Linked DNA regions of Bombyx mori. The protein of the gene in region 2 purifies or fractionates together with the protein of the main gene of each other region. This does not show direct contact. Links are inferred from orthologs where the notes say so. Each region holds a gene or a part of one and is shown on either strand. Other genes may lie near its edges.

What was found.
Region 1: the proteins of protein mahjong (region 2) and COP9 signalosome complex subunit 8 purify together in Homo sapiens (affinity purification with mass spectrometry; 4 studies listed by BioGRID and IntAct, counting the BioPlex papers as one, with this or other methods). This does not show direct contact. The link is inferred for Bombyx mori from reciprocal best matches to the Homo sapiens genes DCAF1 and COPS8.

What each region holds. Positions count from the first base shown.
Region 1 is NC_085110.1:11,099,447-11,103,920, forward strand, and holds the start of COP9 signalosome complex subunit 8, read right to left. Parts: upstream 3,013-4,474; 5' UTR 2,969-3,012; exon of another isoform or gene 2,271-2,968; 5' UTR 2,153-2,270; coding exon 2,099-2,152; intron 2,025-2,098; coding exon 1,954-2,024; intron 1,208-1,953; coding exon 1,026-1,207; intron 201-1,025; coding exon 1-200. UniProt on the Homo sapiens protein: Component of the COP9 signalosome complex (CSN), a complex involved in various cellular and developmental processes.
Region 2 is NC_085130.1:15,862,331-15,866,161, forward strand, and holds part of protein mahjong, read right to left. Parts: intron 2,428-3,831; coding exon 2,308-2,427; intron 1,113-2,307; coding exon 1,021-1,112; intron 1-1,020. UniProt on the Homo sapiens protein: Acts both as a substrate recognition component of E3 ubiquitin-protein ligase complexes and as an atypical serine/threonine-protein kinase, playing key roles in various processes such as cell cycle, telomerase regulation and histone modification.

The DNA.
Region 1 (4,474 bases), on a different chromosome or scaffold from region 2:
ACTAGAAGTATGCAATGGGGCTGGTTGTGCTGGGGGTAAGGGATTCACTGTCATGCCATCATCATGTAGAGTCCACCTGCGATCTTGACAGACTTGTAATGTGGCTTCCCTGCTGAGACCAATCATTGAGATCAGTTTATCTATTTTTATGGAACTGTACGATCTTCCGATAAGGTTTAGAGTCCTTTCTCGAACATTTTCTGTGAAGATGAAAAAAAATGTGATTGTATATTTTTTATTTAGATTACTTCATCAATGTGCGTCAAGACAGAAATAGAATGGATGGTGGTAAATTTTAAGCCCAAATTACAAGTAAATACTGACTGGTGATTAAAGGTCGGAAAGGACTGACGATGTTCATATAACACTCATTTCACATTGCTGGATATTCCCTCACATAATACTCATTTTCATATGTCATTGTGTAAGAAAAGTAAACCTTTTTAACATTTAGGGGAAACATTTCCTAAAAATCATTCCTTTCAGGAATTTCCCAGGTCCTGATGTAGCAAAACTAAAAATTTTTTTTTGTTTTTTTTTTTGTTGTTGTGTAGTTATGATTTTGGAACTCAGCACAGTTTAACATTTTTTTTATTACAAATATAGAAATCCCTATCAAATTAAGCCCCTTATTTATGTATCATAGTGGTATGAAGAAGTGTTTAGTACAATGGTATTTTTAAGTTTAGAATCTGATAGTCTTCATAGTATTGTCTGTTAAAATTTATTTACACTCGTACCTAATTTGACACGTCATATTTCAAAATTTCAATATTAATACTTCTTTGGTATAATGTTCTTTGTAATTTACATGTTATCTTATTCAGTTGAAACTACTTTTCCAAGATTCTTGCTTTTTAATATGGCAGATTTTTGGCATATTTTCATTCACATATGACAAGTGGCACACAAATAATACTAACAAACATTTTATAGAATAGCAAGCAAAGCAATTGATTATAAAGAAAAATCAGAAATTTCTATGAATGTATGAGTTATTCATAGCGTTTCATAAATATTGTTACCTTCCAAAGCTCTTATAATGTTGGAAACTGGTTCTGTCCAAGAGTAAGCTGCTAATGCCTCATATGTACCAGGTAAATCTTTTTTCCACAGTTTCTGTCCAATAGCCCATATTGCAACTATTTCAGGGGAGCTACTCATTACATTTTGTGGTATTCTCTTCCATAAAAATTTTGCATTACACCTGCAATTTAAAGTAACATACTCAATTTAGTGTGGATAATATTGTATATGAATCTATATACTCTACTATCAACCACTAGCTTTACCATCTTCTCTATTACCAATACTAATCAACCAATTGCCTACTAGCTATCAAGTTTTTATTTAGTGGAGTTTACTACTTTGTTAGTTATAGTGTTAGTTATACAGCTATACTAACATCTTTATATCCTTATAAATTATAAAATGTCTTAGATACTAAGGCACTACCCCTTCTTGAGTGGCCACCTCAACCACAACAGGTCCATAGTGATAATAGAATAAATTAAACTACTTTTAATTACTAATCTCACTAACTTGGTAAACAATGAGCATGAAAACTGAAGTATTTGAAACATTGGAAATAATAATAATAAACACAATATGAAACAATTAACTTAATCATAATCACATAAATACTTTATGTCATTAAAACAAAATTTTATTTTATAAATATTTTATTATTAAACAAAATAAATTGATTATAACAGGCCAAGAAACAAGATATAGTAAACTTTCACACTAGACTTCCCCGAGACTTTTAAAAGCTTTTTAAGTGTACTACTAAATAATTTGGTATTTGGTATTGGTAAATTGGTATTAACTTAGTACAGCGTTATATGCTTTGTAGGTGATAAATATATTATTTTCAAAAAATAAATGTGATTTTCCGTCCAAATAAGAATATTATGATAAGAAATTAAGTGAATGTTGCTTTAAATTACTCACAGATCATTTTGATACAAATAAATAGCTAATAGCTGAGCGTAAGTCGAGGGACTGGCTATTCCATTTGGTGTCTGCAATGGAATAATTTGGATTAAAATTGTTGTAGTAAAAACGGGATAAGCTTTTCTATTGAAATACTTATTACCTCAAGTTCTTGCCTTTCCAAATCAGCACAAAGTTTATCGAAATTCGTAATCATTTTGTCTCTATTACTATCATGCAACACTAGAATTAATACGAATTGATATTTTAATAATGCACCAGTTAAGAAGTCCTAATAGAAAATTGTTGAAAATTGTAAACTTCTTGTTGCCACTCTAGAAGTAGAACATGATAAACATTAACCACAGAGGCTAATAATAAAATTAGAGATACAATACTATTCAATAACCTCACAAATTCCAAAAAACCAAGAGGTACCAAAAATACAAACAAAAGTTTGTGGGGCCATAGCTTCAAGCTTGTCTTTAACTAATCTACGTTTATAACATTGAAGATTGAAAAAAGTTAGATTCATTAAATGGAAGTGAATACACGACAAATATATTTACTTTACTTATTATTAAATTAAAAAGCGGTCTTTTAATATTTGCGTAAGATATTTGTGCATCTTAAGTGATGATAAGTGTGAGAAAATTAAACAGTCACTGGATGTGACTTCTTGGGCTCTTGCCCAAACACCAGTGAAGACTCACTAAAATTCTAAGATTTGGATGAAGAAGATAGAGGAGATCTTAGATTTTTAATTATATTACAAATAGGAGGAGATTATTTTATTTCATCTCCTCTCATATTGTATTAATTTATTTTATTGACTATTCAACTCATTACCATCGGTAATGGTTACAATTTCAAATAAATGAACTTTATTTCCGTCTGATGTATTTTTCTTGTTACAAAGTATGTATGCATTTAAATTTTAATTATTGAATTGATTTTAATGATTGATTGTCTGATGTATTTTATTTAAACTCGATACTTTTGGAATAGGATCGTAGAAAACCAATTGCCATACTGAAAAATTATTTAGAAGAGCTCTAGTTTTTTACACGCCATTTTAAAAGAATCTGTCAAGTGTCAACTTGGCAGATATGGTTTTGCTTTTCTAAAACAGGAAAAATGAAAGAAACAGAAATGATATCATACAGTCTATTTTATCCAATTGCAACTGTTTGTTGTACTATGAAAAGTAATAAACAGGTGTTAAACAGTTTATACGAGTAAGGCCCATTAATAGATGGTTTAACCTGAAAAAAGACTAAATTAACAGTTACTTTACAATTCACCTCCCGCGTTCTCTATTGGAAGACTAGCCATAAATACGTTTACAATAAAAAAATATATATATATTTGAACCAATTTTCGCATGTCAACGTTAATTTTTTCTTTGATGAATGGGAACAAAGTAGTGAAGAAAATAATCCAAATACATCCTCTCCGAAAGCAAAAAAAATATATCTAGAGAAATGAAACGACTCAGCTTCCAGAAGCATGTTGCTTAATTAAAAATATGACATAAATTTTGAATCTTAAAATAATGGAGGTAAATTAAAAACAACTTTCGGAATACACAAAGGGCGTGACCGAATAAAAATCGATGAGAAAAATTATAAAATTTTATTAAGGACTAGCGGCCTGCTCCGGCTCCGCTCTGGTCTTTAACAAAATTTTCAACGATATTTAATATTATAATTATGTTTTATTTTTTTAAATAAAATAACAGTTATTACGGCATAACTATAATAGTTAGTCATATGCTATCGCGACACTTTTTGTAAATAATAATGTGCTCTACAAAGTCGTAGTACATTATTTTATTCTATTAACAATAGTTTTCGCAGGGTACGCGGTGTAAATATAAATATTTTAGGTATTTTTTTTACACCTTTGGTTACATTATTGGGTTTTTAGTCAGGAACCTTATTTTTTTCAAAAATATTAAGTGTATAATCTATGTATGTCACTCAGAAATAGTGTAGCTTCCAAACAGTGGAAGAATTTTTGAAATCGGTTCAGTAGTTTCGGAGCCTATTCAATACAAACAAACAAACAAACAAATCTTTCCTCTTTATAATATTAGTATATAGAAGTATAGACAATTAATTACCAAGCTTAAACTTAGAGCTCTACAGAACCTGCTCAATTTGTCAATAGGGAAGATTATCGGAATTATCTGGTTTCAGTGATAATTTCGTGGAATGCTAGCTATTGAGGAGGGTATGAGCTAGATTTTTGGAAAAAAGTATTAGCCGTTGATTTAGGTGTATCTTCTTGAGGTTTATGATTCTTGAGAAGATGAACCATATCTATGTTCTATAAACATTCTTTCTTTCAGCAAGGGTCAGTAACGATATGTGACAACATATCGTAATCCCTTTAAGCGTGGCTGGAAAGCTTTCTCACTTTATCAGAGCAGAAGATTGGTGGTCGTTTATTTCTGATATTAAGCCGCTTGGTTATAGGTACATAGCTTTATTTTATTCTTCTGGTCAATTTTGGAGAAACGTGCTCTAGATCCCAT
Region 2 (3,831 bases):
AACCTTCCAAAATTAAAATACAATTATCCTAAACGTCTTAAGTATATGTAAAATTTTGTCATTAGTAAATAATTGTAAGGTAGCGCCCTCTGTGAATTGATATTTTAATTTCACGTATAATCCTAAATTAAAATTCACTACAAGAGCTTTCATACAGACGTTAGTATTAAAAAATCTCACAGATGGCGCTGTATTAAATAGTATGTATATTTCTGTCTCATTCTTTGCTGGTTTCATCCTACACATTTTTGTATTTGTGTCTCTTGCCTGTCGTTTTTTCCGTTGCATCCGGTTTGAAATCACAACGATTCTAAAGAAGTTTTCACTTCAAAAATTTAAAAATTCGAAATTAAATTTAAATTTTAGCCCAGAAAAGGACAAAGTACACTCTTTCTTGTATCTCTGTTCTCGTTTCTTTTAAATCAACCGCATGCCATTGGGTGTTATCTATGTTTAGCCGATCACTGGTCTAGGTGGTTGTGAGGTGACCACATTAACAATAGACTTGTGATTCGAGATATCCTGTCTCGTTCTCTACAAAACGTATTGACGTATAAGTCTGTCTCTGTCTACATCGTAGCTCAGACGGGAAATTAAGGTAGTTTTACATTTCATTAGCAATCCAATCGCCTCCGACTGCTTAAAGTGGGAACTTAAATCAAATATTAAAAAAAATTACTTCAAAACGTCGTATTCATCAAGGATTCTTTGTTTTATACAACCCGTGTAGACAACATACAGACCATCGGTAGGTGAGTGGTTACCGTCGCCCATGGACGACAGCAGAGCCAAGCCGCTGCCTACCTTTAAGTACACGATCCGCGTTAGAAGAAGGACATGTCATATGAAATCCCGAGAATGTTCAATTAAAAACTTTGCAATTGTGAACACATACCACTACACATAGAGCGAGAGCTTCCATTCCTATTCATATACAGTGCATGACTTAGCGACATGAACGTGCGGGCTCGGAGTGCGCCCCGTCCACCTGCCAACCTCAGCACCACAAGCAATACTCACAGCAGTTCGAACTCCTTCATGTTCCACAGGGCGGAGAGCGGCCTCCAAGGAGTGGTGGCTGACGCTAGCAACAGAAGTCCGTCTCTGCTTGTCTGTGGATGCATATGCATGGATTCATAATTATAAGCATAACTCAGCTCCTGAGAGCAACTACTTTTTTGAAGTGAAACTTCTCTAGGCCCGTTGAGAGTAACATTTAACTCGCGACAAATTCGTTACGGCTAGAGAGAAAAGATACAATTTAGGAAGAGCGAGAGTGAGAGAACAGACGCGAGCCAGGTCGTTTCTCACACATTCTGTTTACGGGCGTTGACCACTAGATGGCTTGTTATTACTTTCTCATTGTTCTTGCAGATGACATTAACATAATATCTTACATTTTATTAATAATGAAAGATTTAAAAAAAACATTTTTCCATTTAATAACATTTTAATATATAATATATTATAGATAAATAGTGAAGAGGTTGTTTTCCTTATACTCGGTGTTTCCCGAGCGCTATGACATGTCCTTCTTCAAACGAGGCTTATGGAGAGTATTAAGCGGTAGGCAGCGGCTTGGCTCTGCCCCTGGCATTGCTGAAGTCCATGGGCGACGGTAACCACTCACCATCAGGTGGGCCGTATGCCCGTCTGCCTACAAAGGGAATAAAAAAAAAAAAAAAAACTTCATCTTTAAAGTCACAAATTTATTAAAGTTCTCATCTTTCTTCTTCTTTTTCTAAACCTTATCCCGCAAGGTGGGGTCGGCACAGCGAATTTGTCTATTCCATTCTCTTCTATCAGCCGTCATCTCAACACTCACTCCTTTCTCTCTCTCTCTCTCATATCGTCATTCACACACTCCATCCATGTCTTCTTCGGTCGACCTCTTCGCCCTCTACCTCGCGTTGTCATTTCCATACATATCCTCTCTAAGCAAACCGTCTTTAATTCATTAAAAAAGTTTGTTAAAAGTTCTCATCTCTATATTCACAAATATATTAAAGCTCTCATTTCTATAAAGTCACAACTTACTGGTGGTAGGACCTCTTGTGAGTCCGCGCGGGTAGGTACCACCACCCCGTCTGTTTCTGCCGTGAAGAAGTAATGCGTTTCGGTTTGCAGGGTGGGGCAGCCGTTGTAACTATACTGAGACCTTAGAACTTATATCTCAAGGTGGGTGGCGCATTTACGTTGTACCTGTCTATGGGTTCCAGTATCCACTTAACACCAGGTGGGCTGTGAGCTCGTCCACCCATCTAAGTAATAAAAAAATAAAAAATAAAAGAATCACAAAGCACAAACCTGCATATGATAAATGTAAGATTCGTGAACTTGATAAGAGTTCTCTTCGGCCCCCGTGAACAGATTGAACACTCGGATGTCGCCCGAGGAGGTGGCCGCCAGGAGTTGCTGCTGCGTCGGCTGTACAAACGAAATTAACCTTTATTACAATAGACAGACGTATGAATATTAACTGCTCATACATTAGAAGTTCGTGCCTTTTGCCAGCGGGGTGTTTTTTTTTCTTATCTAAGCTGTTGGCCTTGAGAGACCATTTCAGCGTCGCCTTAACTAGTAGGTGAGCTCACGGGTCTCTAACCTGACGCCGTTGCTAACACGAACCCTAGCAAGAGCCGTGCTTCGCAGAATCTACCACCGGATCGGAAACGCGACCCACTGAGACCCGCTCTTACCCACAGAGGTATTAAATTGAATTTAGGGGATGGCCCTTTAAAGCGTCTGCAAAGCAATTCGGCCGACGGAAAGTGTCTGGGAGTATTGGCGACTTATTTTTAAGGATATTGCCTAAAATATACGTAAAAATCAGCTTTCAGAAAATACGTGAAGTAGGTAATGATTTTATGTACCTTGAGTATCTGATACCTGAAAATTGACCGTCTAAGCAAGCTAGCAGGTAGGCATGCATTCTTAGTACATACTAACACTACGCAATCGGCCACATTTCGTTCGTCAGAAAATACGTGACGTCTGGGGGCCATGGGATCTTACTCTATAAGTACGTATTTCATTAGAACAATTGGTACCCGCCTGCGGGATTCGAACACCGTTTCAACGCTACATACGAATGCACCGGACGTCTTATCCTTTAGGCCACGACGACTTTAAAACCGTTACACCGTTCAAATCCTTTTTTAATACGTTTTATTAGCCTCAGACGTATGTATGTAACGGAATCTTTGAACATGATTTTGACCCCCCTTCAAAACATCGGATTAACTCGAAATTTGGTATACTTATTATGGACCGATGACAAATCAATATAAAAAATTGAAAAAAAAAATATTGAAATTCAACTAAAAAAATTGTGTTAGAAAAATGATTAATGTAAAAAAAGCAAGCGTGGGGTGCATGGTTATTAGTAGTTATAAATATTTTATGAACAGATATGAGTAGAAGGGTTATTTTATAATATCCTGAAAAGCATCCCACGCTTTTTTACAATAAAATTTTTTTTTCTTACATTATTTTTAATTCAAATTTATTAAAAGTAGTAGTCCAGCAGTAGTCGAAATTCGACTATAATTAATTGAAATTATAAGTTTCAGCATTATTATGGTCCTATTGTTACAGATTTCGCCAAGACTACACTACAGACAAATACTCGTAATATTAAAGATAAACAATATTAACCTATTCTCAATTTGACCACAGACTTTAAGCATTAACAAAAGTTTGACAATAAACAAATAGTATAGTATAGAAGTGAGTGTGTCAAATACATGGTAGTGTGTGTAATGTTTTCTTTATTGGTTTAATGTATTTGTAATGCACAATTTAAAAAAAATAGCATTGTGCACTCCTTTC